Linked DNA regions of Sus scrofa. The protein of the gene in region 2 purifies or fractionates together with the protein of the main gene of each other region. This does not show direct contact. Links are inferred from orthologs where the notes say so. Each region holds a gene or a part of one and is shown on either strand. Other genes may lie near its edges.

What was found.
Region 1: the proteins of PINK1 (region 2) and VIM purify together in Homo sapiens (affinity purification with mass spectrometry; 3 studies listed by BioGRID and IntAct, with this or other methods). This does not show direct contact. The link is inferred for Sus scrofa from reciprocal best matches to the Homo sapiens genes PINK1 and VIM.

Annotation. Positions count from the first base shown.
Region 1 is NC_010452.4:43,510,022-43,525,050, reverse strand, and holds the start of VIM (vimentin), read right to left. Parts: upstream 8,611-15,029; 5' UTR 7,412-8,610; coding exon 6,849-7,411; intron 6,225-6,848; coding exon 6,164-6,224; intron 3,540-6,163; coding exon 3,444-3,539; intron 3,356-3,443; coding exon 3,194-3,355; intron 2,662-3,193; coding exon 2,536-2,661; intron 1,896-2,535; coding exon 1,675-1,895; intron 1,214-1,674; coding exon 1,170-1,213; intron 478-1,169; coding exon 392-477; intron 1-391. UniProt on the Homo sapiens protein: Vimentins are class-III intermediate filaments found in various non-epithelial cells, especially mesenchymal cells. Vimentin is attached to the nucleus, endoplasmic reticulum, and mitochondria, either laterally or terminally.
Region 2 is NC_010448.4:78,857,355-78,872,513, reverse strand, and holds the start of PINK1 (serine/threonine-protein kinase PINK1, mitochondrial), read right to left. Parts: upstream 9,320-15,159; 5' UTR 9,226-9,319; coding exon 8,830-9,225; intron 1-8,829. UniProt on the Homo sapiens protein: Serine/threonine-protein kinase which acts as a sensor of mitochondrial damage and protects against mitochondrial dysfunction during cellular stress.

The DNA.
Region 1 (15,029 bases), on a different chromosome or scaffold from region 2:
GGAAAGTCCTTGTATTATATTCTAACAGGGTCTAGGAGTGTCCAGGGAAGGCCTTATAGCCACGATCAAAATATTCCTAATACTGAAAGTAGTCTAATGAAGCCAGATGAGGCAGTAGCTTAAGGATGCTGCACTCCTCTTTCAAATTACGCACCAAAGCAAGTCACTAATTTTGAACTGTAGGTAGATTACCATCTCACCTTCAGATCTAGAAGCCAAAGAATTAGCTGGCCGTGTGTAATACTGGATAGAACAGGCCTATTCTTCTAGGACGCATGGGTGAAACTGAAACCTCCCAAATTCACTGGCTGTATCTGAGACAGACTTACTGATTGAAACATTTCTCAGTGCCTGTCTGAGGTTACTCCCGTTTTGATTTAAAGATACCCACCTGTCCATCTCTGGTCTCAACCGTCTTAATCAGAAGTGTCCTTTTGGAATGGGTGTCAACCAGAGGGAGGGATTCCAGATTGGTTTCTGGATAAAGAAAACAGGCCCCCAGTGAGTAAAAGCGAAATGTTTAAAAAGACCAGAAACTACTTGGTCCAAGGAATGAGGACTTCTGTTTGTGATTGTTTAAAGCACTATTCCTGTGATAATTCTAAAGACTGTCACCTATTTTAAAACCTAGGGGACCGACACCACTCGGGATAGTCAATGAGATGGACAGCTTCACTGTCTCCTCCATCAGGAGGAAGAAAAATGGATTTCAATTTACCTGAAAGTACAGAATGTAAGACAGCACTGGGGTTTGAAAATTGTGGCTGGGAGTTCCCACTGTGGCTCAGTGTGTTAAGAACCTGACATAGTGTGCATGAGGATGCGGGTTCCTTCCCTGCCCTCGCTCAGTTGGTTAAGGATCCAGCATTGCTGCTAGCTGCAGTGTAGGTAGCAGCTGTGGCTCAGATCTGGTGTTTGCTGTGGCTTAGGCCTGTAGCTGCAGCTCTGATTCAACCCCTAGCATACTTTCCATTTGCTGCAGGTACAGCCATTAAAAAAAAAAAAAAAAAAAAAAAGGAAAATAAAGAAAAAAAAAAGAAAATTATGGCTGTCTTACAAAATGTTCTCTTGTGGGGTATTTTTCAGGTATCATTTAAAAAATGAGTGCTTTATAAACAGAACAGTTACAAGCTGCTAAAATTTTTCATATAGGACAACCAAATGCTTACCCCTCAGGTTCAGGGAAGAAAAATTTGGAAGAGGCAGAGAAATCCTACAAAGAGACAAAGAAAAACAGTAAAATTTTTGGAAGACAACAAGGAACAAATGTATATGTTTGTTTTCATCAAATAGGAAAATCGACTCATAAATTCACAGGTGAATGATTTGCTTCAGAAGCATTAACCCATGTTTGATCTCATTAGGACACTTAAATATTTTACTCCAAGCCTTTTTCTCCAAGGGGCTGGCAGTATTCTAGAGTGGAGGGATTCTAGAGTGACTGTTGGTTTTCACAGCATCATAGGTTCAAATCCCAGCTCTGAGAGTGGATTAACTGACTAGGACCAAGGCATAACTCACTCTCTCTAAACTGAAGGCTCCTCATCTGTACAAAGTGGCAAGGAGCTACCTTGAGGAAAGGTTGTAAAGTTTGAATGAGATAATGCATAGAAAGCGAGAAGCTTGATGCAAATGGCAGCCAGGAATTCACTCCCACCCACCCCCGGTCCCCACCTGCTCTCTTCTCCTTCCAGCAGCTTCCTGTAGGTGGCAATCTCAATGTCGAGAGCCATCTTGACATTCAGCAGGTCTTGGTATTCACGAAGGTGACGGGCCATCTCTTCCTTCATGTTCTGAATCTCATCCTGCAGGCGGCCAATAGTGTCTTGGTAGTTAGCAGCTTCCACGGCAAAGTTCTCTTCCATTTCCCGCATCTGGCGTTCCAGAGACTCGTTCTGCAGATGAGAAAGGCTGCCAGTGTTATTTCCCCAGGGGCATAAAAAAACCAGCCATTCCCTCAACCATTTCTAGACCATGTGCAAATGGGACCCCGGCAGCAAATGGGAAATACTCCAATTTTAGGCAGAAAATCTAAGTACCAAATCCTCTTCCTAGCGGAAGCCATAATGTATGTAAACTAAAACCTCTGGATTTCCAAATTCTTTTCATTTTTTATTTATTTACTTTTTGGCTGTGCCCGTGGCATAGAGAAGTTCCCAGGCCAGGGACTGAACCCAAGCCATGGCAGTGACAATGCAGGATCCTTAACCTGCTGAGCCACCAGGGAACTCCCTCCATATATATATATTTTGGCCATGCCTGTGGTATATGGAAGTTCCCGGGCCAGGAAGCAAACCCTTGCCACAGCAGAGACCTGAGCTGCTGCAATGACCATGCTAGATCCTTAACCCTCTGAGCCCATACAGGAAGTCCCCAAATTCTTTTAAAATCTGTCTTGATGACTCATTTTCTTTAGATTACAGTGTAAGTGTTTCTTCCTGTGAATGACATTTTCTTCCACAGCACCCTTGGCTTGGCTACAGGAATGGACCCAAGCTGGTGATCTGCCCCCTTTTCTCGCCAGGTGATACTCACGGTCCCCTTGAGCGCATCCACTTCACAGGTGAGAGACTGCACCTGTCTCCGGTACTCATTTGACTCCTGCTTGGCCTGGCGCAGGGCATCGTTGTTGCGGTTAGCAGCCTCGGAGAGGTCGGCAAACTGTCGGGAAGAAAAGCAGAAACCCTGGTCACCCAGGAGCTTCAGCCAACAGATCCTCTCAGAGACTTCCTGGCCTGGACAGATGAGAAAGCTTCAAGGTGGCAGACAGACAGCTACAAAAATAAGGCCCGATACCAACCCAATTTTTTACACATCGTTCATATCTCAGCGCCTTCCAAGAATCTGTCTCCATGTCTGTTTGGGACACCGGAGCAAAGGAGGTGGAAAGCTGATGTCGAGATTTTCAAGCAGAAATTCACTGTTTCCCTCCTCGTCAAAGGGCGGAGGTTAAGGGCATAGTATTGGGGTTTACTTGGATGTAGGGGGACAGAGGGGCAGTGCAAAGAGAGTCTGTTCTTCTAAGGGAGGGGGCATGAGTGATGGGAGGATATAGTAAGAAGTAAAACTTGAACAAGAGGTAAAGCCAGCTCAACGTGGGAGCTAAGAGGTATTTAGGAATCACAGCCAGGTGCAGCGTTTTTCAGAACAAAATGCTTTTCTTTGGTTCTGGCCACTCTTGCCCGCTTCATACCTTGGACTTGTACCACTCCTCCGCCTCCTGAAGGTTCTTGGCGGCCACGCTCTCATACTGCTGGCGGACATCACGCAGGGCAGCCGTGAGGTCAGGCTTGGAAACATCCATATCGATTTGGACGTGCTGTTCCTGGATCTGAGCCTGCAGCTCCTGGATTTCCTGAAGAAGGAAAAGACAGAAGGTCGGCCGTGCCCAGTGTGGGTGCAGCTTCACCCACCTCCATCCACCACCCAGGCTCGCCTCTGACCTCATCGTGCAGTTTCTTCAAAAAGGCAATCTCTTCTTGCAAGGATTCCACTTTGCGCTCCAGGTCAAGACGTGCCAAAGAAGCATTGTCGACATCCTGTTTGGAAAAGAGAAAAAGGTAAGATGCGGACGAGGATGCTAATGTCTATGGGCTTCTCCCATTTAGTCTTTTTAAATATCTTTGCACTTACATCTCTGCTGTGAAAAGGGTGTTGACAGATACTGTGACCTTCAAATAAGTTTGGAAATCTCCTAAATACCATGCTAACAGATTTGAAGGGTGACCCACTGAGTTGTACTCAAGGTAGCTAATAACAGACAATTTAAAAATAAATGAGTGTATGCCAACATGGTAAACTCCCCTCAATTTCGTATCAGTGTATTGTATCAGTGAAGGTTTTTAATTACTTTTTTTTTAATCTAGAAAATCAATGCTATGGCATTGTCAAGTTTTTTAAGGGGTAACATCATGGAATATAATAGGACAATGGGAGTTGATCAGATGTCACCTTTTTTTTTTAATGGCTGCACCCATGGCGTATGGAAGTTCCTGGGCCAGGGACTGAATCTGAACTGCAGCTGTGGCAGTGCCAGATCCTTTAACCCATTGTATCAGGTCGGGGATGGAACCTGAGCCTCTACAGCGACCCAAGCTGCTGTAGTCAGCTTCTTTACCCACTGCACCACAGAGGGAACTCCAGATTTCACAACTTATGTATACATGAGTATATAAGAAGTTTCAGCAGATAATACTTAAGTTCTTTTTTTTTCCCCCTCTACTTATATCTTCTGAAACGTATCCTTAAGATCCAAAGCAAGCTTATAGTCATCTGGCATTCAAACTGCAAGGCTCAATTTATACTTCAGTTCAGGATGTATACTGGCAAAAATGCAGTTCAGGAAACTGAAGCAAAGAAATGTCACTCTGAACTGTATTTGCTTTGCTTTTTCTGGTAGATTTTTCTATAGAAACTCACCCCTCTCATCTCAGAAGGGCGTGTCTATCCTTTTCACTTAGCACCGGTGTCAGTTCTCTTACTAAGCTTGTTTCAGAATGACTGGTCAAAATGCATACAGTGTAACTGTATGTAAAATTCTTGCTCCTCTCGTCTGCTTCTGTGTTTCCACCACTTGTAAACTGCTACATCCTTGGAAGATTTTATTTCCCCCTGGCAAGGGAATGTCATCAGGATTTTTATGCCTCTTATCTTGTAAGCAATTATATTTGAAGCATGGTTTACAGCCTGACAGTTTTAAAATGTTGACCTACTTCTATCATCTTCGTGGAAAAGTGAATAAGGAATAGATGATTGTAAAAAGATCCAGCTTGGGGAAAAAATTCATTTTTACTTGTTAAGCCCTACGAAAGATGTACAGGAAAATTTACTACTCTTCATTTAAAAGAAAGAAAAAAAAAAGGTCAGTCCTTCATTCTACTACTTTGAATAGAACATGAGTGGTTTTACCTAATCCCTAAGTAGGAGGGACAAGTTATACTAATACTGTTTTATATTAAGTTCCTACTCAGCAGAAAACATTGCAGATATGGTGATCAGAAATGCTTCATGACTTAGAATACACCACATATTTGTGTTTAAATTAATTTGGCAAATGTACTTCGGCTTCAAAATATTACTCGACTGTTCATCTGAGGAAGCTTTTATAACCAATCCCAGTAAGTGTTCAGGAGAATGAAATTATGCTGGGAACACTCCCTGCTTTGGGATTCCAGATGAAGTTAAAAATCCTTGAAGGCCTCCTATCTTTGAAGCAAGAAAACCCTTTACTGAAAATTCCATTCTTCGTTCTCAGGTTTCTTCTTTCTTTATGGAAAAAATATTAAAGAACACAAGGATCCAATAAAGAAAGACCTTTCCAAATGTGGGGTATTACGACTGTAGCTTTAAGGACTTTCCACGTCTAGCACTTCACGAGTCTGAGCCAGATATTAGATAACGGATGTTAGCAAATACTTGTGTCCAATTAGAACTCTGCTTACATCATTACATACTCAATAAGAATGTAGCCTGTTGCAAAGAGTCTCTGGGAACACAAAGACTCCTATTATTCCTGTCCAGAGCCACCACACTTGCCAGAATGTCTGTATCTACATTCCATAGTGAAGCCCATAGAAACCATTAATACCTTTCAGCCAAGGGGACAGATGGCTCCTTTTCACCCTTATTAGATCACAAAATAGTTGTGCACACGGATACTTCCATCTAACCTTAGGCCACAATAGAACTTGCATGGAAGAAAAGAAACTTGCTGGCTTAAGTCCAGTTAAACCAAGTTTCTAATTCTCCAATACATTGTACACTTGAAACTAACGGGGCAGAACTCCGCTTTGTGTGGCCCTGTAAAAGTTAGCTAGCTTGACTTTGGCAAACCGAAGTCTGAATCAAACTGTAACTGTTCGAGATCAGAGTATCAGTGTGTTGCAGAACCGAAACGGGAAAAAAAAAGTCATGTCTTGGGGGAAAAAAATCTTGAAACAAAGTCAAAAAGACTTTATTCACGTCCTATGGAAGGAACGGTTTAATCGTTCGAGGGTTTTTAAGGCGGAGAAGCTCCCAACTGTGGTCTTTCTGCCACTAGGGGGCTTGGCGAGCAGACGAGAAGTTTTGCACGATTTAGACTTGGGTTAAGTAACTTTGAGAACTGCCCGTAGGTTGGGTGGGTGGGGTCGGGTGGCTGCAAGTGGGAAGAGAATCTACAAACCTGTCTGAAAGACTGCAAAGTGCTCTCGGCTTCCTCCCTCTGAAGCGTCTCCTCCTGCAACCTGAAAGAGATGCACATCAACCGAAGGGGAACTGGGAAACCGCCAGGGGCGTGGCGACCACACCCAACCACCACGTCTTCGCCGCGAGACAGCCGAGTTGCTGCGCCACCTCTGTGGCAGTCGGCGACTATGGCTTTTAGAACTGCTGCCTTTGGCAAATCTCAAAGGGACCCTGGCCGCTGCGTAAAAAGCAATCGCAGTTGCTACAATGACCTGGGAGGCGAATGCCACCACCCCACTCCCCCGTGAAGATTCTGCAATCCCTTTGTCTCGCTTCCTACACCGCTCCTGGGGAAAGAGCAGCCCGTCAGAGGGGACCAGGAAACTTTCTCAAAGTTTGGGGGAATCGCACTGATCGTTTGCAGGAGCCTTCGAGTAACAACAAAGTGGTAGTTTTAAGAAATCTGAATTTTGGTCGTTCTTGGGCAATGAGTCGGGGTAGAGGGTAAATGCTAACTTGCAAGATCTGGGTTCAGGGCAGGGCTGCGCCGCAGCAGCCACAGCGCTCTCCCCCCGCCCACCGCGTACCCCAGGCAGCCACCGCCCCAGCCACATCCCCAAGGGCGTGTTAGCTTCGGTTCCCCTCTGCCGCCCTCCTGAAGCCCCGCGGGCGCTTAGTCTTACTTCTCCCGCAGCCGCATGATGTCCTCGGCCAGATTGTCGCGCTCCACCTCGACGCGGGCCTTGTCGTTGGTGAGCTGGTCCACCTGCCGGCGCAGCTCTCGCATCTCCTCCTCGTAGAGGTCCCCCAGGCGCGACTTGCCCTGGCCCTTGAGTTGCTCGAGCTCGGCTAGCAGAATCTTGTTCTGCTGCTCCAGGAAGCGCACCTTGTCGATGTAGTTGGCGAAGCGGTCATTCAGCTCCTGCAGCTCCACCTTCTCGTTGGTGCGGGTGTTCTTGAACTCGGTGTTGATGGCGTCGGCCAGCGAGAAGTCCACCGCGTCCTGCAGCAGCCGCACGCCGGGCACACTGCTCCGCAGGCGCACGGCCGAGGAGCGCGTGGCGTACACGCCGCCCGGGGACGAGGTGTAGAGGCTGCGGCTGGTGCTGGGACGCAGCGCGCTGCCCAGGCTGTAGGTACGGGTGGACGTGGTCACGTAGCTCCGGCTGGAGCTCGGCCGGCTAGCGGTGCCAGGGCCGCCGAACATTCTGCGGTAGGAGGACGAGGACACGGTCCTGGTGGACATGGCTGCAGAGGTGGCAGTGGGCTGGGCGGCTGCGGTGGCGCGGACTGGCTCCGGGAGGAGAGGCGAGCGAGGGAGCGGTGGGTGTGGGCAAAGGGAGCGCTGCTGCGTCTCTGGCGCGGGGACCCCGGAGCAAGAGTGGCAGAGGACGGGACCCCGCCGAGGGCGCAGTTTTTATAACCGCCTTAGGATGGAGCGTTCCCTCCCACTGCCATCCCGGCGGCGGAGTGCGCCAGCCAATGGGGACCCGGCGAGAGGCGGGAAGGCTGGCCTGGGGTTTGGGGCGGGGGAGCCCGGGAGCCTCCCTCCTCCCCCCTCCTCCGCAACCGGGACTATGCTCAGTCCCCCAGTAACTTGGAGGCTGAACTGGAACTTTTGGGGCTTTCCTGAGGATGGCCTGAGGTGTGCTCACCTCTGGGTGATGAAAAAGGCTGGGTCCCGCGGTGATGGGGGAGCCCTCCCTAGACTGAACCACAAGGGTCCCGGGCACCCAGCCAGCTAGGGAGGCGTAGGAGGAAGCGTGCGGGTGGGAGGGGCGCGCGGCCCCTTGGCTGCGGTCGCCTGGAAGCGCGAGGGTGGGGGGGCCCCGCGGGTAAAGGAGCCGGAAGAGAGGAGTGAGGGATCCAGCAGATCGGAAGGCGTGGAGAAAGAAACAAAGAGGGCCTGAGATTGGAGCGCGAGGTGGGGGCGCGCACAGCCCGGGGCGCAGGGCTCTGGGCTCTGCGCAGCCTTGCGCACGCCTGCTTGGACAGCGGGACCAATCCGGCCCCAACTTTCCTCGTCCTCCTGTAGTAGGAGTTCCTGTTCAGGGACCTAACCGGCTGGGCCCGGCTTTGGACAAGGAGCTGCAAGGAAGTGGCCAAGGAAAGCCCAGGGGAGATGGGTGGGGTCGCTGAGTCACCACTGGCAGTGAGTCACTGCGCTCTGCTGTCCCGCCACCGAGGTTGAGGAGTCCTAGCGGTTCAGGAAAACCGTTAGACGAGATTGACTTTCGTCTCCCCGGGCCACTGTGCGAGTACTGTTGGTTCTAAGTTTTACCCAACTTCGAGCTGGGCTCTGCTTTCTTATGTGCCGTTCGCTGGTTTGGAGTCTAGAGCGCTCCTAAATTCTTAGGAACGCGCCCAATCCAGATTTTGCTCCAATATGCTGGCTTCTCTTTAGTAAGAAACTTCCGCGGAGGCTCTGTAACCGCCAAACGCCGGTCTCCGGCCTCACAAAGGCACTTGGGGAGGGTTTTTCTTGCAAAGTTTCCTCCCGCCTCCCCTCCGGTCTCCTCTCCGCCTTCCTCCACCCCCTCCCCCCGTAAAACCGCACCCGACTTTTAACAAGATCTGAACGTTTCTGGGTGAAAGAGGAAACTCTGTAGTTGCAAAATCCAATTGAGTGATCACTGCTTTTTCTGCTGTAGTGAGAGACATTAAAGATATAATCTACACCAATTATAGAATTAAGTAGATGTTGCTTTAAATGTTTAATTTGATTAATAAAAGGCAGTTATGTAACTCAAGGGACTGAATGTTTGAGACTAGATTTATGTGTTCATTTTAGTTCACGCATGATGCACAGCGCAGGATTCTGGTGACTTGTCTGAGAAATGTCACAGGTCCCTTAGCCTATTTTCCAGAAGAATTCCTGCAATTCATCTTGGAGTGAGGGGGATAAAGCTGTCTACAGAAGGAGAAAACTTTTGGTCCAGGGCACAAGGGCGTGTTCAGATTCCAACCTGAAAATCTTTCTAGGTAAATCACTCAACTGAAGGGGTTTTGTTGGGAATGAGTAAAGCGCAGAACAGAGAAGAGAGTCTGTCAGTGATTTCGTAGCAATTTAAAAATCACAGGTTTTCGTCGTTATTGTTGTGGTGTTTCAGTGTTTAGAAGAGTTGAGTATTGAACGGATTAACTCCAAAATCACTGCAAAAGTAGAAACATCTTGATTCAGTGGTGGATGTGGAGGGAGATAAAATTCTTCCCTCTGCTTTTGTGTTTTTGTTTTGGAAAGGGGGGCCCTGAAGGTTGCCTGGCATTTAAGAAAAAATAGTTCAGAACCAAATGAAGGGTTTATTTTCACTTCTTTGTACAAGCCTCTTTTAGGCAGTGTTTTGTTTACCTCCTTTCAGTTCGTTCTGGCCGGTGGGGCTGCCAAGGTCGCGCTGCAGGACCCCTTGCTGTACCGCTCCCCCGCTGTGGATTGCCTTAATTCTCTCCCCGCTCTGCGGGTCCCTCCCGAGGCGCATTCCTGGGGTGTGGCGTCCTAGCGGGCCCACTTATGCTCTGAGAGCCCTTTATGCGAGCTCCGCTCTGCAAATGTCACTATTGTGAGTTTGCCTGGAACCCTTCGGATGAGAAAAAGCCGTTTCCCTCTGGGGAAAGGGAGGGTGGACCTTCCTCCCACCTAAAATGCTGATCCCAGGACAATGCGCTGGTGCTGTCAGGGGACGCTTGCTGACTGAGTCACCACGGGGAAATGAGGGCAAGGCTCTGGTGCGGTGTGGCAGGGTGCCCTGTTGGTGACCAAAGCACATTCCTCAGGTCTGTGGGTGACTCCCTCTGGGGGGGACGCTGGGGCCTCATCATCATCTCGGGGGGTATCCCTTCTCCTTTGCAACCTGTCCCCAAGCTGTATCCTTAGGATGGGTGTGTGTGTGCTTGCTGTCTCAGCTCAGGCTGCTACAACAAATTGCCATAGGCTGGGTGGCTTAAGCACCAAACATTTATTTCTCCCAGCTGTGGGGGCAGGAAGTCCAAGATCAAGGTGCCAGCTGACCTGGGGTCTGCTGAGAGTCTGTTTGGTAGTTTGCAGGTGGCCACCTTTTGCTGTGTCCTCATGTGGCAAAAAAGAGGGCAAAAGCTCTGATCACTTCCTTTTCTTATAAGGACACTAATCCTGTCCTAAGGGCCCCACCCTCATGACCTCAACTAAAACCTAATTACCTTCCAAAGGCCCCACCTATAAGTGTCAGCATATTGGAGATTAGGGCTCTAATGTATAGATTGTAGGGATAGACACCAGCATTCAATCCGTAGTACTTGCCATACAGCGCGCACATGCACACACACACACACACACACACACACACATGCACACACATGAACATACACCCGAGAACATACACACACACGAACATGCACACACAACACGTACATGCACAGACACAAAGATATGCAGATCTGGTGTGTCTTTTCCTATTAGAAACTGTCATAGCTTGGGGTAGACTGTAGCGCATAGAAAAGTGAAGGTTACAAAAACACATTTACTCATTCATGTAGAATGCATGAGACTTTGGAAAGAATTTGTTTCATTCTGATACATTAGGCACTGCCCAGCTGGGTGCCTCAACCAAGAGAGGTTAGTCATCAATGAACAAAATCAATACATCTGAACTCCCATCCTTGAGCAGCCCTGCTCTCTGCGTGCCACATGTTCTTAGCTACCTTTTGGAAATAAACATAGACAGAGCTTTCTTGGTTTTCATATTTATTTTTTGATCGCTGTGAAAACCTATCTCTGGAGTATTTTTGAACGCTGGGCTCTGAAGCATCTTTAAGCACCACATGCTGCAAGTTGTGTATAAATAAGGACACGGTGTGACCATTTGTAGGCCAGGCGTAAACATTACCAAATCTAAAGTACTAACAGTGATTTTGGAATTTGCAAGCTGTGGTGATGTCAGTTGAATTGGGCGATTGGAACTGACGGACCAGCCAGCCATGTGGAGAGGGGCTTAGTGGCCTGTGGAGGCTTTAGGGGAGCTGGCTGGCAAGAGGTTGTGCCAAGAGGACAGCTTCTAGCTGGATCGCCTGGATGGAATGTTAGCAATGAGAAGGTGGATAAAGTGAGAGTGTGAAAGTCACGGTAAAATCTGAAAACTGTGATATAAAAGATGATCATGATCAGTAATACAGCAAGTGCTTGAATTTTTGTGCCTACTGGATGAATGACATGAATTTTGTATTTTTTTTTTTTTTTTTTTTTTTTTTTTTTTTTTAGGGCTGCACCTTTGGCATGTGGAAATTCCCAGGTTAGGGGTCAAATCAGAGCTACACTGCAGCCATGGTTACATGGGATCTGAGCATCATCTAAGACCTATACTGGAACTTGTAGCACCTCTGAATCCTTAACTCACTGAGTGAGGCCAGGGACCAAACCTGCATCCTCATGGATACCGGCTGGGTTCTTAACCCAATGAGCCTTAGTGGGAACTCCTGTATATATTTATTGTAACTGCATGAGAGGCTGGCCTCCTGCGAGATAGTTTAGATCATCTCTTTTAAAGACTAGGCAATTGAGACACAGGCCAAAAATCTGCTTGTGACCATATAATCATCAGTGGAGGGACGAAGGGGGCAAGCATTTGACCTGAGCCCTTTTGATTCCAAATATACCTGAAATTTTGCTTGCTATTCACCAGTATAATTCAAAAATATTATTGAGGGGCAAACTGTGATTTAGGAGCTGAAGAGATAGGGTAACTAGGCAGATTACATTATGAAGGTGCAGACTCCTAAAGGAATTTGACAAATACTTGAGAGTATCATGTTTTATGTCACTCAAATGATGTAACAGTGATGCATAATAGATAAGAGGAGAGTTTGGTTTTCACATAACTCTAAAGCCTTACTTTGAGAATTCAAGAATTTCCACCTAGATTCCTTTCTGCCCTTTCAAAGGCATCCTATCCAAAGTCCTATTGGAAGTTGGGCTCAGCTCATCTCACACCCTAAAACCCCACCAACCATAGCAGCTTCCCCTCCTCACTTCCCTGTCTATTTAAGGTAACTTAGCCAACTATCAAGATTGGAAACTTTCATCATTTTTGCCACTTCCTTACCCTTGGATTGCTCAGACCCCATGGGTGTCCTGTCCATTGCTTTCTGCACCCACTCATCTGTTATGTTGCTGTGACTCACCTCGAAGCCATTTTCTGCCCCATCCGTGCAGTATTGCATTTGGCTTCCCTTCCTCCAGGCTCTGCTTACCCCCACCAATGTGTCTGACTTTCAGCCTAAACCTCTTTTTCCTTAGTAATTGCATGCCTAAAACTCCCTAAAGATCCAAAGTGGATCCCTCATTCCCTTGTTAGCTCCAGGAGGGTAGAGACTTTTCTCTTTCATTCCCTGTCCTATCTCCAGTGCCTACAGAGAAACCTAGCACATTTGCAGAATGTATGAACTACTGCATGAGTAGTTCATAAAAGGGGGAGGGAGGGAGGAAGGAAGGGAAGGTGGGAAGGAAGAAAGAAGGTAAGAAGGAAGGAAGAAAAGGAGGGCAGGAAAGAGGAGGCTAATATTTACTAGTGTCTATTCTGTTCAAGCCGTGTGCTAGTCATTTTACCCATTTGACGTCCTCTAATCTTTACAGCATCTTATGATGCACAGCTTTCATTAACTCACTCAAAACACGTGTATCAAATGTTTACCATGTTCCAGACACTCTGCTGACAGTGGGGAACCACGAATAAGGCAGGTATAATCCATGTACTCTTGGGACCTAGGGCTGAGTCTGTGTTTGACTGTGTGTGGTACAGAGGGATAGTACCTATGTAAAGGGACAAACCAAACAATTAAAATTTGTAATAAAGATGATGAAGGCAAGAGAAATTTTGCTTTAGAGGAAGTTGGGGGTCACATCACAACAGTGGCTTTTGAAAGCCAGGCTAAATATGGCTAGCCCTTCTCAGTCTCTGTTGCTCCCCACTGGACAGCAGTTTCATTGGGTCCCTAAGCTCCTCACTGTCCCAGTGAATATGCTTGTTTGCCCCACCTTCCTGTCTTTCTTCATAGTCCATTCAATGGACAGATGTACCTGTTTTCTACACTGCCTGCAATGCTTTCTAGTATGTCCAGATGAGTTAAGAAACTTTTCATGCCTCTAGGGAGCTCATAGCCTTGAAAAGGATTAGGAACCATGTAAAAAGGCTGTCATGCATAGCAGAGTGGGGTGAGTGGGTGCTCTGCTGGAGATGTGAAGGAAATGCCGAGGGGTTTAGATGGAGAAATGCTCATGCCCACTGTGGGAGGGGGAAAGATGAGAAAATGTGTTCAGCGAAGGTGGTATTTGAGGAATTTGGAGGAGTGAGTACCATTTCTGCAGCTTATCATGGCAGAGAAAGGATGCTCAAAGTTGATGAGACAGTATAAGCAAGAATAGTACAGGTATAGGAGTTCTGGGACATTTAAGTTATAGCAAGAATTCCAGTGTGGCTGATTATGGATCAGTTACAGGGGAGAAAGGAAATTGAAAGCTAATATGGGAGCTTGCGTTGGAGGACTAAATGCTAGGGAGAGGAGTTTATAATTAATGTGGTGGGCAGTGGGAATTCACTGCAATTTTCGATGAGGAGAAAGACAGGCTTGTAGCTGTGTTTTAGGAAGATTGTTCTAGCATGTTGGGGAGGATGAATTGGGAACACTGATCTGAAAGCTCTTTGCCACAGATCATGTGAATGAATGGCTTTAAAAGCCTGATCTTGGGGGCTACAGTGATGAAGATGAGAGTACTGTTAGACCATGAAGTTAGGGGACAAGCATGTCAAGGGCTCTGAGCTTTCTGGAGAGATTAACTAAGAGAGCTGATGCAATGTAAATGGGAAACAATTTTTTAGGTGGAACATTAACCTGAGTTGAAAGATAAATCATTCAACTTCATACCTGGAAATATCCTCCCTTCTTTTTTTATGAAGTAAAACCTTATGAAGTAGGTGGAGTATAATGTGAGTCCTGCAGTTTTGCTCCTTAGAAATCTCAGTCTGTTCACATAATTTTTGTTTCTTTTTATGGCTGCACCCGTGGCATATGGAAGTTCCCAGGCTAGAGGTCCAATCAGAGCTGCAGCTGCAGCCTGTGTCACAACCAGGGTAATACTGGATCCGAGCTGCATCTGACCTATGCATCAGCTTGCAGCAATGTCAGATCCTTAACCCACTGAGTGAGGCCAGGGATCGAATCTGCATCTCACAGAGACAACATAGAGTCCTTAACCCCCTGAGCCACAACAGGAACTCCTGTTTATGGAACTTAATACTGATTGCCTCAGATTGTTCCTTATGTGATTTAAATGTGTCAGTCTTGTTTCCTCAGTTGGTCCAAAATCAGGGATTTCTTCAGTATCCTCTAAATCAGTTTGGAAAACATGTTCATGCCCATCATTTCTGTGTCTCTAAAAAAAAAAAAAAAAAAAAAAAGGTTCAGAGACAAAGAAGCTTTAAGACAAACTTCTAGAATTTTCTTTGAACCTTTTTGGGGGGAAAGCAGATGATAGTTTCCCATAAAACTGTATCACAATAAAGGTATTGTGGAATTTGAGCTTCATATCAATTAAATAGACTTTTTTCCTATCACAAAATATGAAAACTGTTCTGTAACAATATTGTAAGTCATTCATCTGAACACTCTAGAGCTTTAGGAGATTAGACATATATATGTATATAATTTATAATTTCATCCAAGTCTAATGCACCATCTCTGACTAAGGAAAGAGAAGGTGGTGAGGATGGGAAGTAACATACAGTGGGAAACCTAGTGCAAAAAAACCCAATTCGGGTCGATGTTAGACAAAGACGTGAAGCTAGGTTCTCCGCATTGGTTCTCTTGATCCCCAAAGCAAGACCAGCCCAGCCCAGTCA
Region 2 (15,159 bases):
AGGCAGGGCTCTTGGTCCCTGAGACCTTGAGGCCCCCAGTTCCCACCTTTAATTAAGATAAAGGTCTCTGTGTCTTGTTTTATGTTAACTTTTTTCCTTAAGTTTCATAGCACCCGTTCTTCAGCCCTCACCTGCTGAGCTGGTCTCGGCAATGCAGGTGGAAACACTAGTGCATGTCATTTTTATTGGCTGGTTCTTGAGCTTCATGGTGGGTAAAGTGGGTTTTTTTGCGTTGCTCCATGACTTGGGTAGGCCTTTTGCAATATCTTCTATTGACAGTAACACGTCGTCGGCTGCATACAGCCACTGTTCCATCCCACTGTCACTGCTCTGCCCCTTTCCGTAGCTGGGTCCAGAAGCCCAAGGGTATGCTTTTATTATTTTGCTGATGCCACAGGCCCCAACTAAGCCTTTCCGGGTCACTGGCCACATCCAATTCACAAGCTTGTCCCTGAGTTAATAACCCAGAGCCTGTGCCTGTAACAGTTTAGGGGTGGTGGGTCAGGGGTAGGCTTGTATTTTATAGATAAATCCAGGTCCTGCATTTTGTCTGTGTTCCCCAGCCACCCCTGTGCACTCAGATGAACCATGAGGGCGGGTCTGATACTTCCAAACAGGAAAGAGAGGCTCTGAGGTTAACAGATACCATCAATATACTGGAAGAGACCTCTCTCGTGGTCGTCAGCTGCCACCGGGCAGACAGCCACCCTGGGGTCTGGCTCGCAACTTTCTGTTTTCCGTCCTTCTTTCCTGACGTTTTGGCCCTCATGGGGGTTTCCTTGGACCCTGGCTGGCTCCCCAGTTGTTGGGCTGCACCCCAAAGGCCTGCAAGCCTTATTGCCCAGCCTTGAGGAAACTGAGGAAAGAGACCAGAGATGGTGACAGAGATGGAGGTCTTAGACGTTCACGGCAAAAGGTCCCAGTGATGTCAGGTTGGCTCATGAGTTACCAGGGAGACCAGCGGCTGCGGTGCATCCCTCACAGGCCCTCCGATAAACGACCATCAGGAGAGCAGGTGTTTCCCTTTAATAAACTAGCAGGTGGAGCTGCTCTGGCCTAAAGTCGAGAACAATCACTAGCTGGGGCAGGGCGCAAGCACGTTCATGTGAGTGGGATGCAGGCGAAGCCAGGCCTGGTCCAGCAGGGATGTACCGAGAACAAGAGGACAGCCATCTTGAGTGGCCTGGCCACACCCCTGTCTTCCTATCTCCACCTCCTAGGGATCTGCTGGGCCATCTCCTTTTCAAAGGAAACAAGAATACAAGCATTCTGATGGAAGTAGATGGAAATGCAGGTGCTATGGGGAGGCCCTGGGAAAGAGGCACTTCCCCCAAATTGGGGTGCATGCCTCCTTCAGACAGACAACCATCGTTTTTCTAGTCGCCAAACTCCACCGTCCTCCTCGAACCCTGTGGACCGGCTGATCCCTCCCTCTCCATGGTGAGTCGCTTACCTCCAGACTCCCCCACTCTCACAGCACCCCTTCACCTGCTTCTGAACCTGAGGACACCACCGCTTTAGCGTGCCACTCTTCTGTTCCCGAACCTGACAGGTTATCCAGTACCTTGTCCCAGCACTTCCTGTGACAATGGCTTCGGGGGCTGCTCGGTGCACTATCCATACATGTCTCTCACTTGTCTCCCCTGAACCTTTGCTCACACGCCCCCCGCTGCCCCCTATTTCTATCGTCTTTGCTCTGCCTGCTCATCCCTACTCACCCATCAAATCCCCACTCCAGCTCCTGCTTCTCGTTTAACCAGTCCTGGCAACTCAGCCCACAGCAATCTTTCCTTCTGGAGGATTCCTAAAGCACTTGGAATCTATAAGCTCATACACCTCATATGATGACCTATTGCTTTAAAAAAAATGGTAGTCTGTAAAATAACAAAGTGTCCCGTGTCCCCTTCACCCAGTTTCTTCCACTGGTGACTTTTTTTTTTTGGCGTTTCAGGGCTGCACCTGAGGCATATGGAAGTTCCCAGGCTAGAGGTCGAATTGGAGCTGCAGTTGTTGGCTTATGCCACACCCACAGCAACGCTGGATCTGAGTTGAGTCTGTGACCTGCACCGCAGCTCAAGGCAACGCCAGATCCTTAACCCACTGAGCAAGGCCAGGGATAGAACCTGCATCCTCATGGATACTACTCAGGTTCTTAACCCGCTGAGTCATAACAGGAACTCCCCAATGGCGACGTCTTATAAAGCACTAGTACAATATCAAATCCAGGAATTTGACAACATGCACTACTGTTGACTAAAGATTTTACTTGGTTTTCACCACCTTGTTTAACCTGCATTCATGCACGAGTGTGTGTCTGTGTGTGCACGCAGGCGCCTGTGCATGTAGCTCTATGCAATTTTATCCCACGTACACATGTGTGTAATTGCCACCACAGTCAAGGTACAGAACTGTGCCGTCAACACAAAAGAGCTCCTCTGTGCTACCTCTTTGTATCTGCGCCACCCTTCCCGTGTCCCGGTCCCTGGCAACCACTGATCTGTTCTCCATCTCCATGGTTTTGTCATGTCAAGAATGTTATATAAATAGAATCACACAGGATGTAACCTTTCAGAACTGACTTTCTTTCACTAAGCATAATGCCCCTGAGGTTCATGGAGCTGTCATGAATGGTTCCGTTTGTTACTGCTTAGTATCCCCCTGCCTGGCTATGCCAGCCCAACAATGCACCTGCTGAAGGATGTTTAGGTTTTCAATATTTTGTTATTATGAATGATGCAGCCATGAACATTCATGTACAGAGTTTAAAAATTATTCTTAAGAACTGTGGTAAAATATACACAACAAAATTGGCCCTTTTAACCTTTTTTTTTTTTTTTTTTTTTTTTGGTCTTTTCAGGGCCACATCCGAGGCATATGGAGGTTTCCAGGCTAGGGGTCGGATTGGAGCTACAGCCGCCAGCCTACACCACAGCCACAGCAACACAGGATCCGAGCCACATCTGCGACCTACACCACAGCTCCCAGTTACACCAGATCCTTAACCCACTGAGCAAGGCCAGGGTTCGAACCTGCGTCCTCATGGATACTAGTCAAGTTTATTACCACTGAGCCAGGACGGGAACTCCCCTTGTAACCATTTTAAGTGTACAGTTCAGTGACATTAAGTGCCTTCAGGCTGTTGTATAACCATCACCAGCGTTCAGCTCTAGAACTTTTTTCATCTTGCAAAACTGAAATTCTGTATTAATACCCATCCTTCCCCAGCCCAACAGCCTCCATTCACTTAATGTCTCTGTGAATTTGACTAAGCACCTCATGCGAGTGGAATCATACAGATTTGTCTTTTTGTGACTGGCTTAGTTCCCTTAGAATAACATCTTCAAGTTTCCCCCATGCTGTAGCATGTGTCAGAGTTTCTTTTCTTTTTTTTTTTTTTGACTGTGCCCATGGCATGTGGAAGTTCCTGGGTCAGGGACCAAACCCGTGCCACAGCAGTGACGTGAGCCACTGCAGTCAATTTCCTTTCTTTTTAAGGCTGAATATTATTCCACTGTATGTACATAGCACATTTGGCTTATTTTTCACCACTGATGGACACTTGGGTGTTCACCTTTTGACTGTTGTGAATAATCCTGCTGTGGACACGTGTACAAACATCTGTTCAAGTCTCTGCTTTCAATCCTTTTGGATATATACCTGGAAGTGGAATTGCTGGATCATATGATAATTCTATTTTTAATGTGGGGGAGAACTGTCATACTGTTGTCCACAGCAGCTACTTGTATGCAGGTTTTTTTTTTGTCTTTTTGTCATTTCTTGGGCTGCTCCCGCGGCATATGGAGGTTCCCAGGCTAGGGGTTGAATCAGAGCTGTAGCCACCAGCCTACGCCACAGCCACAGCAACGGAGGGTCCACGCCGCGTCTGCGACCTACACCACAGCTCACGGCAACACCGGATCCTTAACCCACTGAGCAAGGCCAGGGATCGAACCCGCAACCTCATGGTTCCTAGTTGGATTCGATAACCACTGCGCCACGACGGAAACTCCGTATGCAGGTTTTTGTTGAACGTAAGTTTTCATTTCCCTGGGTAAATGCCTGAGATGGCAATGGCTGGGTCATATGATAAATGAATGTTTAGTTTTGTAAGAAACTGCCAACTTTTTTTTTTTTTTTGGCTACACTCATGGTACATGGAAGTTCCCAGGCCAGGAATGTGAGCCACAGCTGTGACCCACGCCACAGCTGTGGCAATGCCAGATCCCCAAACTGCTGTACCACAGCAGAAACTCCTGCCAACTATTTTCCAGAATGGCTGTACCATTTTATATTTTCACTATCAGTCCAGTTTCTCTGCATCCTCTCAAACATTTGGTATTATTACTACTTTAAAATTTTTGTCTGTTCTAGGAGTTCCCGTTGTGGTACAGTGGAAACAAGTCTGACTAGGAACCATGAGGTTGCGGGTTTGATCCCTGGCTTCACTTGGTGCATTAAGGATCCCGCATTGCTGTGGCTGTGGTGCAGGCCAGCAGCTGTAGCTCCGATTAGACCCCAAGCCTGGGAACCTCCATATGCTGCAGGTGCAGCCCTACAAAGCAAAAAATAAAAAAATAAAAAATTTTATCTCTTCTAATAAGTATGCAGAGATATCACATTGCATTTTTTATTTGCATTTCCCTAATGGCTAGTGGTGTTAAACATCTTTTCATATTCTTGTTTGGCACCTGCAACTCCTCTTGGTGAAATACATATTCATGTCTTTTGCCTATATTATAAAGGGTTTTTTTCCAAATGAGAAATAGAGTGATCACTATTATACTCCAGTATGATACCACATGGAATTTTAGCATTAGAGTTGCCAGATCTGGTGTTTTTTTTTTTTCAATAAGAAGTCAAATGCTTGAATTTTTAAAATTAATTGGCACGAGATCCTGCTATATATAGCACAGGGAACTGTATCTGGTCACTTGTGATGGAACATGATGGAGGATAATGTGAGGAAAAGAATATGTATAGATATGTATGACTGGGTCATTTGGCTGTGCAGTAAAAATTAACAGAACACTGTAAATCAACTATAACAGGAAATAAAAGTCATATAAAAATAAAATTAATTGGCAACTAATTAAAAATGTTAAGACACAGGAGGGTGAGGTGTGAGAAAAGGATGTGGAGATGGAGGATCAAGCGCCTCAGTTTTAAAAAAAGCCTCCATAGGAGTCCCCACTGTGGTGCAGTGGAAACGAATCTCACTAGGAACCATGAGGTTGGGGGTTTGATCCCCGGCCTTGCTCAGTGGGTTAAGGATCCGGTGTTGCTGTGAGCTGTGGTGTAGGTCACCGATGCAGCTTGGATCTGGTGTTGCTGTGGCTGTGGTGTAGGCCGGCAGCTGCAGCTCCAATTGGACTCCTAGCCTGGGAACCTCCATATGCCGTGGGTGCGGCCCTAAAAGGTCAAAATAAATAAATAAATAAATAAATAAAAATACAAAAAATAAAAAAGCCTCCATATTTGTCAAGTTGGCCATCCTTGGCTTCTGCCAGTTGGGCTGTAAAAAAAGACAAGGACAGAGGCTGGGGACTAGGTCAGATGTCACCTGTCACCCCAAACGGGCCAGAGCGCAAACATGAGACACTCTGGTGATGAGTAACTGAACTGGGCTGAAAACCAGAACACATGGAAGACACTGCTTGCTCTTCAACCAGCCATACCCTTGGGCAAGTCACCCTACCTTCCATTAAGGTCATTCCATAAGAATGACCTCCCTGGAAGAAGAGGGAATTCTGCCAGCATACGGCCTTCAGACTTGACATCAACAATGGTTCTTGCCTGGATCACCAGCCTGCTGGCCCACTCTGCAGACTGAGGACTTGGCAGCCTCCTTCCTGAACTTCGGTGCCTATTCTTAGGATAAATCTCTTTTTATAAACACATCCTATTGGTTCTGTTTCTCTGGAGAACTCTGATTTTGGTTGAGTAGAAACAGAATTCTCTGAGCTATTTCAAACATTTAAAAAGCCTTAGAACCCTATGTATCTAGTCATCCCTGATAATTATACAGATTAACTAAAAACCTAGGTCTGCTTAGTCAAAGCAATCCTGAGAAAGAAAAATGGGGCTGGAGGAGTCAGGCTCCCTGACTCCAGACTACTACAAAGCTACAGTCATCAAAATAGTACGGTACTGGCACAAAAAAACAGAAATACAGATCAGTGGAACAGGATAGGAAGCCCAGAATTAGGAGTTCCCTTTGTGGCTCAGTGACAACAAACCCGACTAGTATCCATGAGGATACAGGTTCAATCCTGGCCCTGCTTGGGGGGTTAAGGATCTGGGGGTTAAAGACCTAAATATAAGACTGGATATTGTAAAACTCCTAGAGGAAAACATAGGCCCACGACTTTCTGACATAAACTATAGCAATATCTTCTCAGATCCACCTCCTGGAGTAATGACAGTAAAAAAAAATAAATAAACAAATGGGACTAATTAAACTTAAAAGGTTTTTGCACAACAAAGGAAACCCTAAACCAAATGAAGACAACTCACAGAATGGGAGAAAATTTCTGCAAATGAAGTGACTGACAAGGGATTAAGCTCCAAAGTATATAAACACCTCCTGCAGCTTAATACCAAAAAAAAAAAAAAAAAAAAGAAAGAAAAAGCCATCAAAAAACGGGCAGAAGATCTAAACAGACAATTTTCCAAAGAAGACTTAGAGATGGCCAAAAATCACATGAAAAGATGTTCAACATCACTATTAGAGAAAGGCAAATCAAAACTACTATGGGGGGGAGTGGTTTCTCAGGGCTACCTGAGATGCTGTCTCTTGGGCTTAAGTCCTAATTTTGTCTCAAATAAAATTTAATTCTCAACTTTCAAAAACAAACAAACAAAAAAACCTGCTATGAGGGAGTTCCCGTCGTGGCTCAGTGGTTAACAAATCCAACTAGGAACCATGAGGTTTCGGGTTCAATCCCTTACCTTGCTCAGTGGGTTAAGGATCCAGCATTGCCGTGAGCTGTGGTGTAGGTCGCAGACACAGCTCAGATCTGGCATAGCTGTAGCTGTGGTGTAGGCTGGCAGCTACAGCTCCGATTAGACCCCTAGCCTGGGAACCCCCATATGCTGCGGGAGCGGCCCTAGAAAAGGCAAAAAGACAAAAAACCAAAAAACAAAAAAAAACCCACACTATGAGGGGAGTTCCTATCGTGGCTCAGCGGAAACAAATCTGACTAGTATCCATGAGAACACAGGTTCGATCCCTGGCCTTGCTCAGTGGGTTAAGGATCCAGCGTTGCCGTGAGCTATGGTGTAAGTGGAAGACACGGCTCAGATCTGGCATTGCTGTGGCTTTGGCGTAGGCCAGTGGCTACAGCTCTGATCCAGCCCCTCGCCAGGGAACTTCCATATGCCATGAGAACGGCCCTAAAAAGCAACAACAACAAAAAGGCTACAAACAATAAATGCTGGAGAGGGTGCGGAGCAAAGGGAAAAGAGAACCCTTTTAGTCTGTTGGTGGGTGTGTAAAGTGGTGCAACCACTATGGAAAATAGCATGGAGAGTCCTCAAAAAACTAACAATAGAATTACCATATGATCAAGCAATCCCACATCAGAGAAAACCATGATTTAAAAAGATACATGTACCCCAATGTACACTGCAGCACTATATACAACAGCCAAGACACAGAAGCAACCTAAATGTCCATCCCTCTGTTGATGGAGTGGATAAAGAAGATGTGGTACATATACCCAATGGAATATTACTCAGCCATAGAAACGAATGGAATGACGGCATTTGCAGCAACATGCATGGACCTGGAAATTATCATGTTAAGTGAAGGTAGTCAGACAGTGAGACACAAACATCATAGCTATCACTTATAGGTGGAATCTAAAAAAGGATATTATGAACTTATTTGCAGAACAGAAACTGACTCAGACTTTGAAAGACTTACGGGGACCAGAGGAGACAGGTTGGGGGGGGGGGATACGCTGGGGGTTTGGGATGGCAATGTAAAATTAGGCTGTGACAGATTCTTTATAAGCCTAGCACCTCCTCACAGTCAGGGCTGGTGCCATCTTGAGCTCAGCCACCCTCTGACGCCTTAATAAACGCTTTTGCTTTACAAATAAATAAATAAAATTAGGCTGTAATTATGGTTGCACAACTATAAATACAATGAAATTCATTGAATAAAAATAAAGCAGGTCTGCTATCTTCTCTTGCTGTTCTTGGTTTTTGCTGAAGCTTCAGATCTGTCATTAATATCAGTCACTGTGTCACTTCTGATTTGGCTAAACTGTGGAAGGAGCCTGGCTGGAGCAGTGGTTAACGGCACAGGCTTTGTAAAATCAGACTTGGGGCACTGCCCTTTATGAGCTGTGTGACTTTCAGCAATTTACACCACCTTTCACTTCTCTGAGTGTGTTTCCTCATCCATAAATTAGGGATGACAACCAACCACAGGAATATAAGTATTATGTCTTAGTTGTCCTTAAATTTCTGAAAATTTACAGAAAGTTATTGGCCAAGGTGCAACATGAGTGGTTATTAACATAACTTCCAAAATATGCTGTTTGAAGGAAGGGAAAACAGTAAAAAGTGAGCTGTTAAGCCCCAGGTCAGGAGATCAGTGACATCGAAAATGAGCCTTAATCAGTGATGTCAAGGAATTTCCAGCTCGGACAAAGGTAAACCCTGACCCAGGGCCCCAAATCAGTTAATGCCTCCCAGCTCCGCCTTCACCACGCCCACACTTAGCCCCACCCCACACCCACCCAAGACCCGCCCACACACTTAGCCCCGCCCGCAGCCCGACTCCCGCTCCCGCTCCGACCCCCGCCCGCGGCCGGCGCTCACCTGGATCTCATGACAGGCGGAGGCCGCCCGCCGACCCTCCGCTTGCTTCTCCTCAATGAGGCCCAGCCCCAGCCCGAAGGCCAGAAAGACAGCCCGGCCGCAAGGGCCCGCGCCGCCCCGGGCCCGCACTACGAACTGTCGCTGGAGCCGCGCCGCCAGCCCGGCCACTGACTGGCGGAAGAAGCGGTAGCGGCCGGGGAGCCCGAGCGCGAGCCTGCGCGGCTCCGCTCCGGGTCCCGCGGCAGGGCCAGGGCGCTCTCCGCGGCCCCAGCCCGCCGCTGGGCCCGGGCGTTCGGGCCGCCCCCAGGCATAGGTCGGGCCAGGCTTGGCTGTGAAGCGCAGCAGCAGCGCTCGGCCTAGCTGCAGGCCCCGGCCCAGAGCCTGTCGCACCACCATGGTGCCGCGGCTGGGTCTCCTCCGAGCCGCAGGAGGCCGGGACGCCTGTCACAACAACAAACTTCGGGTCGGCGCCTTTGCGCAGGCGCGGGCGCCAATGGGCGGGGCCGCCTCTCTGGCTGTTTCTCCGCTGTGCGCGCACGAGGGCGCTGTTCGCGCATCTGCGCGGCGGGTAGTTTCTTGCTCTTGCACCCAGGATCTAAAGATTGCATTGTCAGGGAGATCCTGTCAACATCCTTGGTTCTGGGCAAAATCGAGAAATTGAGAAGAGAAATGAATAATTATTACCCCTTACCGACGGTGCCAGAATCTACGTTTGTTAATTTTCCTACCAATGAGATAGGAAGGTCGTTTTTATAGATAAGAAAACTGAGGAAAAAGAAAAAAACAGGGCAGTGACAGTCCAAGGTCATATGCAGTATCAGAGCTGAGGTTAAAGTTTGCATTGCCCTGATTGCTGAGTCCTTGCCCCTGATGCCCTTCCACTCGTCTCAACAAGCCCACAGGCCCCGGAGAGAAATCTCACCCTTAGGCCACTTTTTTCAGATTAGTGAACAGAGTCCCTGAGATGTGGATCAACTCACAAAGTCACACAGCATGTTGGTGGTAGAGCCTTGTTACCCAAAGCTGCTGTTGGAATGGCTGATAAGGAATTTGTACTGAGTGATTTTTCTTTCTTTCTCTTGCCTTTTTTAAAAAGAGAATTTACAAATACAATAATGGAAAACTATAGTGAACCCCATGTACCCAATTATCCAGTTTCAACAATTATCAACAAATAGTCATTATTTAGTCACCTGTGCATATCTTCCTACTTTCCATTCTCCCATCTTTAAAGCAAATCCCATATATCATATCATTTCATTTATAAATACTTAAATATCTATTGAGAGAGAACTATTTTTTTACAAAACATAAATGATATTGTCACCTCTAAAAATATTACCATTAACTTCACAATATCATTTACTATCCAATCAATATTCAGATTTCCCTGTTGTTTTATTTTACAGTTGTTCAAATTGGGATCCAGACAAGATCTACATGATTTATTTGGTCAGTGGGTTATTCTTTAACAAGGAACCAAGCCTTCCCCAGGCTAAGGAGGTATATTTTGTGGTGCTGCCATTTAAAAAAACGTTCCTGTAATCATGAGTACCTCCAATCTCCTTACCCTTAAGGCTGGTTGTGGGTAAGAGGCCCTGGAAGAGATGTTAAAATGTTTTTGAAGGTATGGCCATGTGTCACAGATGACCTTCAGGGCAAGGGGACCTTCGTCTAGCCTGAGACCCACCTCAGCATTTCTTGAATAGAAAGACACAGTCTAACCTATTTATTTCAGGACTCATTTGCGACCTTTAGCACAGCCCTGTTTCTGGGCTGTAAAGTTGTAAGAAAGAATGAGAGTAAATAGGAATAAAAACAAGGCAACTGCAGAAAGATCCACTTTGAATTGGTGAAATTTTTTTTTTTTTTGGTCTTTTTGTCTTTTCTAGGGCTGCACCCGAACCACATGGAGGTTCCCAGGATCAGGGTCTAATCTAAGCTGTAGCTGCTGGTCTACGCCACTGCCAAAGCAACGTGGAATCTGAACCGAGTGTGCGACCTACACCCAGCTCATGGCAGCACCCGATCCTTAATCCACTGAGCAAGGCCAGGGATCGAACCCACAACCTCATGGTTCCTAGTCAGATTCGTTAACCACTGAGCCACGATGGAAACTCCAGTGAGTTTAAACATGTCAAAACCAGTATAGGAATACTTCCTAGTGACTCAACATTTTGAGGATCCGGCGCTGTCACTGCTGTGGCGTGGGTTTGATCCCTGGCCCGGGGAAAGTTGCATGCTGTGGGTGTAGCCAAAAAAGAAAAAGAAAGAAACCAGTATATACATTGAATGAGAAGCTGGTAATGTTACTCCTAGGTATAGACCCCTAGAAAAGCATATGTAATTTACCCGAGAATGTTTATAGCAAGACTATTCCACATAGTGTAAAACTGGAAACAACTCAAATGGCCATCTCTATAGTAGACTGGAAAATTGTGGTATATTCACCCAATGGAATACTAAACAGCCATGAGAGTGTCTACAACTATAGAGTCCTGGGACGTTGTTTCCTGATCCGTTTATGTGATGAAAATTCTCCTAAAAGTACATTTTGATTTGTGCATTTTTCTGTGTGTAGTATTTAGGTAAACATTTTACTTAATGCTTTTTTAACATAATGAAAGCCTTTCTGAAAAATTCAGGGAGTTCCCATTGTGGCTCAGTGGTAACGAACAGGACTAGGATCCCTGAGGATGTGAGTTTCCATCCCTGGCCTCTCACATTTGGTTAAGGATCCGGTGTTGCTCTGAGCTGTGGTGTAGATCACAGATGCAGCTCAGATCTGGTGTTGTGGCTGTGGCATAGGCTGGCAGCTATAGCTCTGATTCAACCCCTAGCCTGAGAACTTCCATATGCCGTGGGTGTGGTGCTAAAAAAAAAAAGAAAAGAAAAATTCAGTCTATTTTATCACCAGGGAACCCTCCCCACTGGTAACCACTAGTTTGTTTTCTGTATCTGTGAGTTCTGTTTCTTTTTTGTTATATTCACTAGTTTGCTTTATTTTTTAGATTCCACATAAAAATGAGATCTTAGAGGAGTTCCCATCGTGGTTCAGCGGAAATGAATCCAACTAGGAACCATGATATTTCGGGTTTGATCTCTTGTCTCGCTCAGTGGGTTAAGGATCTGGTCTTTCAGTGAGCTGTGGTGCAATTCACAGACTCGGCTTGGATCTGGCATTGCTGTTGCTTTGGTGTGTAGGCCAGCGGCTACAGCTCCGATTTGACCCCTAGCCTGGGAACCTCCATGTGCCTCGGGTATGGCCCTAAAAAGCAAAAAAAAAAAAAAAAAAAAAGAGAGAGAGGTCATAGAGTATTTGTCTTTCTCTGATTCATTTCGCCTAGCATAATAGCCTTCAAGTCCATCCATGTTGTTGTAAATGGCAAAATTTCATTAATTTTTTTTTTACAGCGGAGTAGTACTGCATTGTGTGTGTCTATTTATATATATGTGTGTGTATATATACACATATACCACATCTTCTTTATCCTTTCATATATCGATGGACACTTAGGGGGATTGAGGTACAAACTATTTTGTATAAAATGAATAATCACAGGAGTTCCTGTCATGTCTCAGTGGTTAACGAATCCGACTAGGAACCATGAGGTTGTGGGTTCAGTCCCTGCCCTTGCTCAGTGGGTTAACGATCTGGCGTTGCTGTGAGTTGTGGTGTAGGTCGCAGACACGGCTCAGATCCTGCATTGCTGTGACTCTGGTGTAGGCCGGTGGCCACAGCTCGGATTGGACCCCTAGCCTGGGAACCTACATTTGCTGAGGGAGCAGCCCAAGAAATGGCAGAAAGACCAAAATAAATAAATAAAATAAATAAGCACAAAGTATATAGTGTATAACAGAGTTAATATAGCCAATAGTTTGTAATAATTATAAATGGAGTATAACCTTTAAAATTTGTGAGTCACTGTTGTACACCTTACCATATATTATATTGTAATCATACTTCAGTAAAATTCTTTTTTTTTTTTTTTTGTCTTTTTGCCATTTCTTGGGCTGCTCCCGTGGCATATGGAGGTTCCCAGGATAGGGGTCGAATCGGAGCTGTAGCCATCAGCCTACACCACAGCTAGGGGTTCAATAATATTGTTTAAAAATAGATACAAAGAAAGAAACAGTGGAACAAACTAAAAACAATAAAATAAAGGATTTTGGATACACACTTACCCCAAAAAAGTTCTATCTAACTCATTCATGGTCTCAATTTTTTTGAAAAATGAACTTTGTTTGAATAGTGTGTGAAAGTTCACAGAGTTTAATCATCTTTGAATTTCGTGGTTTCAAACAATAAAAGCATTTTAATAGGGGAGTTCCCATCATGGCGCAGTGGTTAACGAATCTGACTAGGAACCATGAGGTTGCGGGTTCGTCCCTGCCCTTGCTCAGTGGGTTAACGATCTGGCGTTGTCTCGAGCTGTGGTGTAGGTTGCAGACGCGGCTCAGATCCTGCGTTGCTGTGGCTCTGGCGGCTACAGCTCCAACTAGACTCCTAACCTGAGAACCTCCACATGCCGTGGGAGTGGCCCAAGAAATGGCAAAAAGAAAAAAACAAAAACAAAAAAACATTTTAATGCGAGCTTCGTTGTATCACAGACGTTGAGTTGAACTTTGCTTTGCACATGTCTCAGCCAGCCTGTTCCTGAATGAACAGACGATGGCACTTTCCACTGTTTAGGACCAACCGACATTAGGGAGCATCTTCACTTTAATTCTTCTGATGTCGGTGTGATGGAAAAGCCAGGACATCAAAAGAGAACAAGCAAAAGGCTCCACCTCCCTTCCTTCCTGCTTAAATATGAAATTAAGGGACATGTTAATAGTAGCTGTTGCTGGAGGGATCTTCAACCATCTGAAGGGTTCTGGCCCCAGGCATGCTTGGCCATGAGGTGGACCCCTGGCTAGGGACAGGTGGCCAACTGTTTCAGCAGTGTGTGTATCCTGATCTCTCCTGTGGGAGAGAAAAAGCATGGCCCTCGTCACATGCAATTTATTTGGAAGAGACATAGATTAATAGATGAGTTTCTCTCCAATTTCTTTATAGGGGCACATGGATATCAGATATTATCCTTTTTTTTTTTTTTTGGATCAGTTTCAGAGAATTTTAAATTACAATTTAAAAATGCTCCATTGAAACTGCCCTTTGGAGAAAGGTAAGGAAGAGAAGGTGGGGGAAACTTCACACTCCAGGGACCACAGGCTCACCCACGGAAGCTTAGTCAGCTGGGGCAAAGGTCTTATTTAAAGTTTAAATCTACCCATCTGCTGTGTGTCATTATCATTTCAGCTCTTTCATGTTTACTGAGAAGGAACAAGAGGTTCTCTGATATTTAATATTTTAACTAAAAGGATTTGCTTTACCCTCCTAGGAATGTAACCTTTTACCAGGAGGCTTGTGATGACCATGCAGCTTGTGAGCGGTGCTCGCTCAAAGGACGGCGCATCGGTTTTTTGGGTTAAAGAATGCGCTTGTTATCAGCCTTGGATTTGTTCCGCTATGCTGCAGATAAACTCGCTGGACCTGTGATGCTTAGCTTCCCCACCTGCAGAATGAAATCTCCAGACTGATGTTAATTAACCCTGTCTGGTGGACCGTGCTATTTCTTGTTCAGCCGAGAGCACTGGACTCTTTCACTTCTCCTTCTGTAGAAAAATCTAAGTGCTGAAGCAGACCCAGCATGAAGCTCGATTCTTCAGCAGACCTCTGTCATGGAAAGGGCAAGCAGGTGAATGTCTACACAGAGAAGCTCCCAGCAGAGATCACAGACTTCTGTGTTCTCCCTTCCCAGGGCAGAGATCCAGCCTGACTGTGCAGGGCACAGGGCCTGCCTTTTGTAGGGATCAGGGCCCCGATTCCATTGTCCCCCTCTGTTCTCCTGAGAAGAAGTCTTCCCATGGTGGCGCCATGGCTCAGGTCTCCAGGGAATCATCCTGACGTTCTCCTAACATCTGTCTCTTTAGTGGTGTCTCACGCAGGTGAAGTCAGGAATACAGTATATGACTTTCCGCCAAGCTATCTTTTTACTGCAGATTTAATATTCTACGAGTCTCATTCATTCAGAGAATATTAAACCAAGCAGGTTTATTTATGTAGCAAGCAGGCTTTGATATGCTCAGGCACAGAGGTTGGAGGAGAATGGAGAGGGGTGCCAGAGAGACCAGAGGATTCTTCTCTAACACACATTCTGCTCTGGGGGCATCCTGGCTCTTTTTTTTTTTTTTTTTCTTTTTTAAGGCCATACAAGCGGCATCATCGGATGCTGTAGCTGCTGGCCTACGCCACAGCCACAGCCACACAGGATCTGACCTATACCA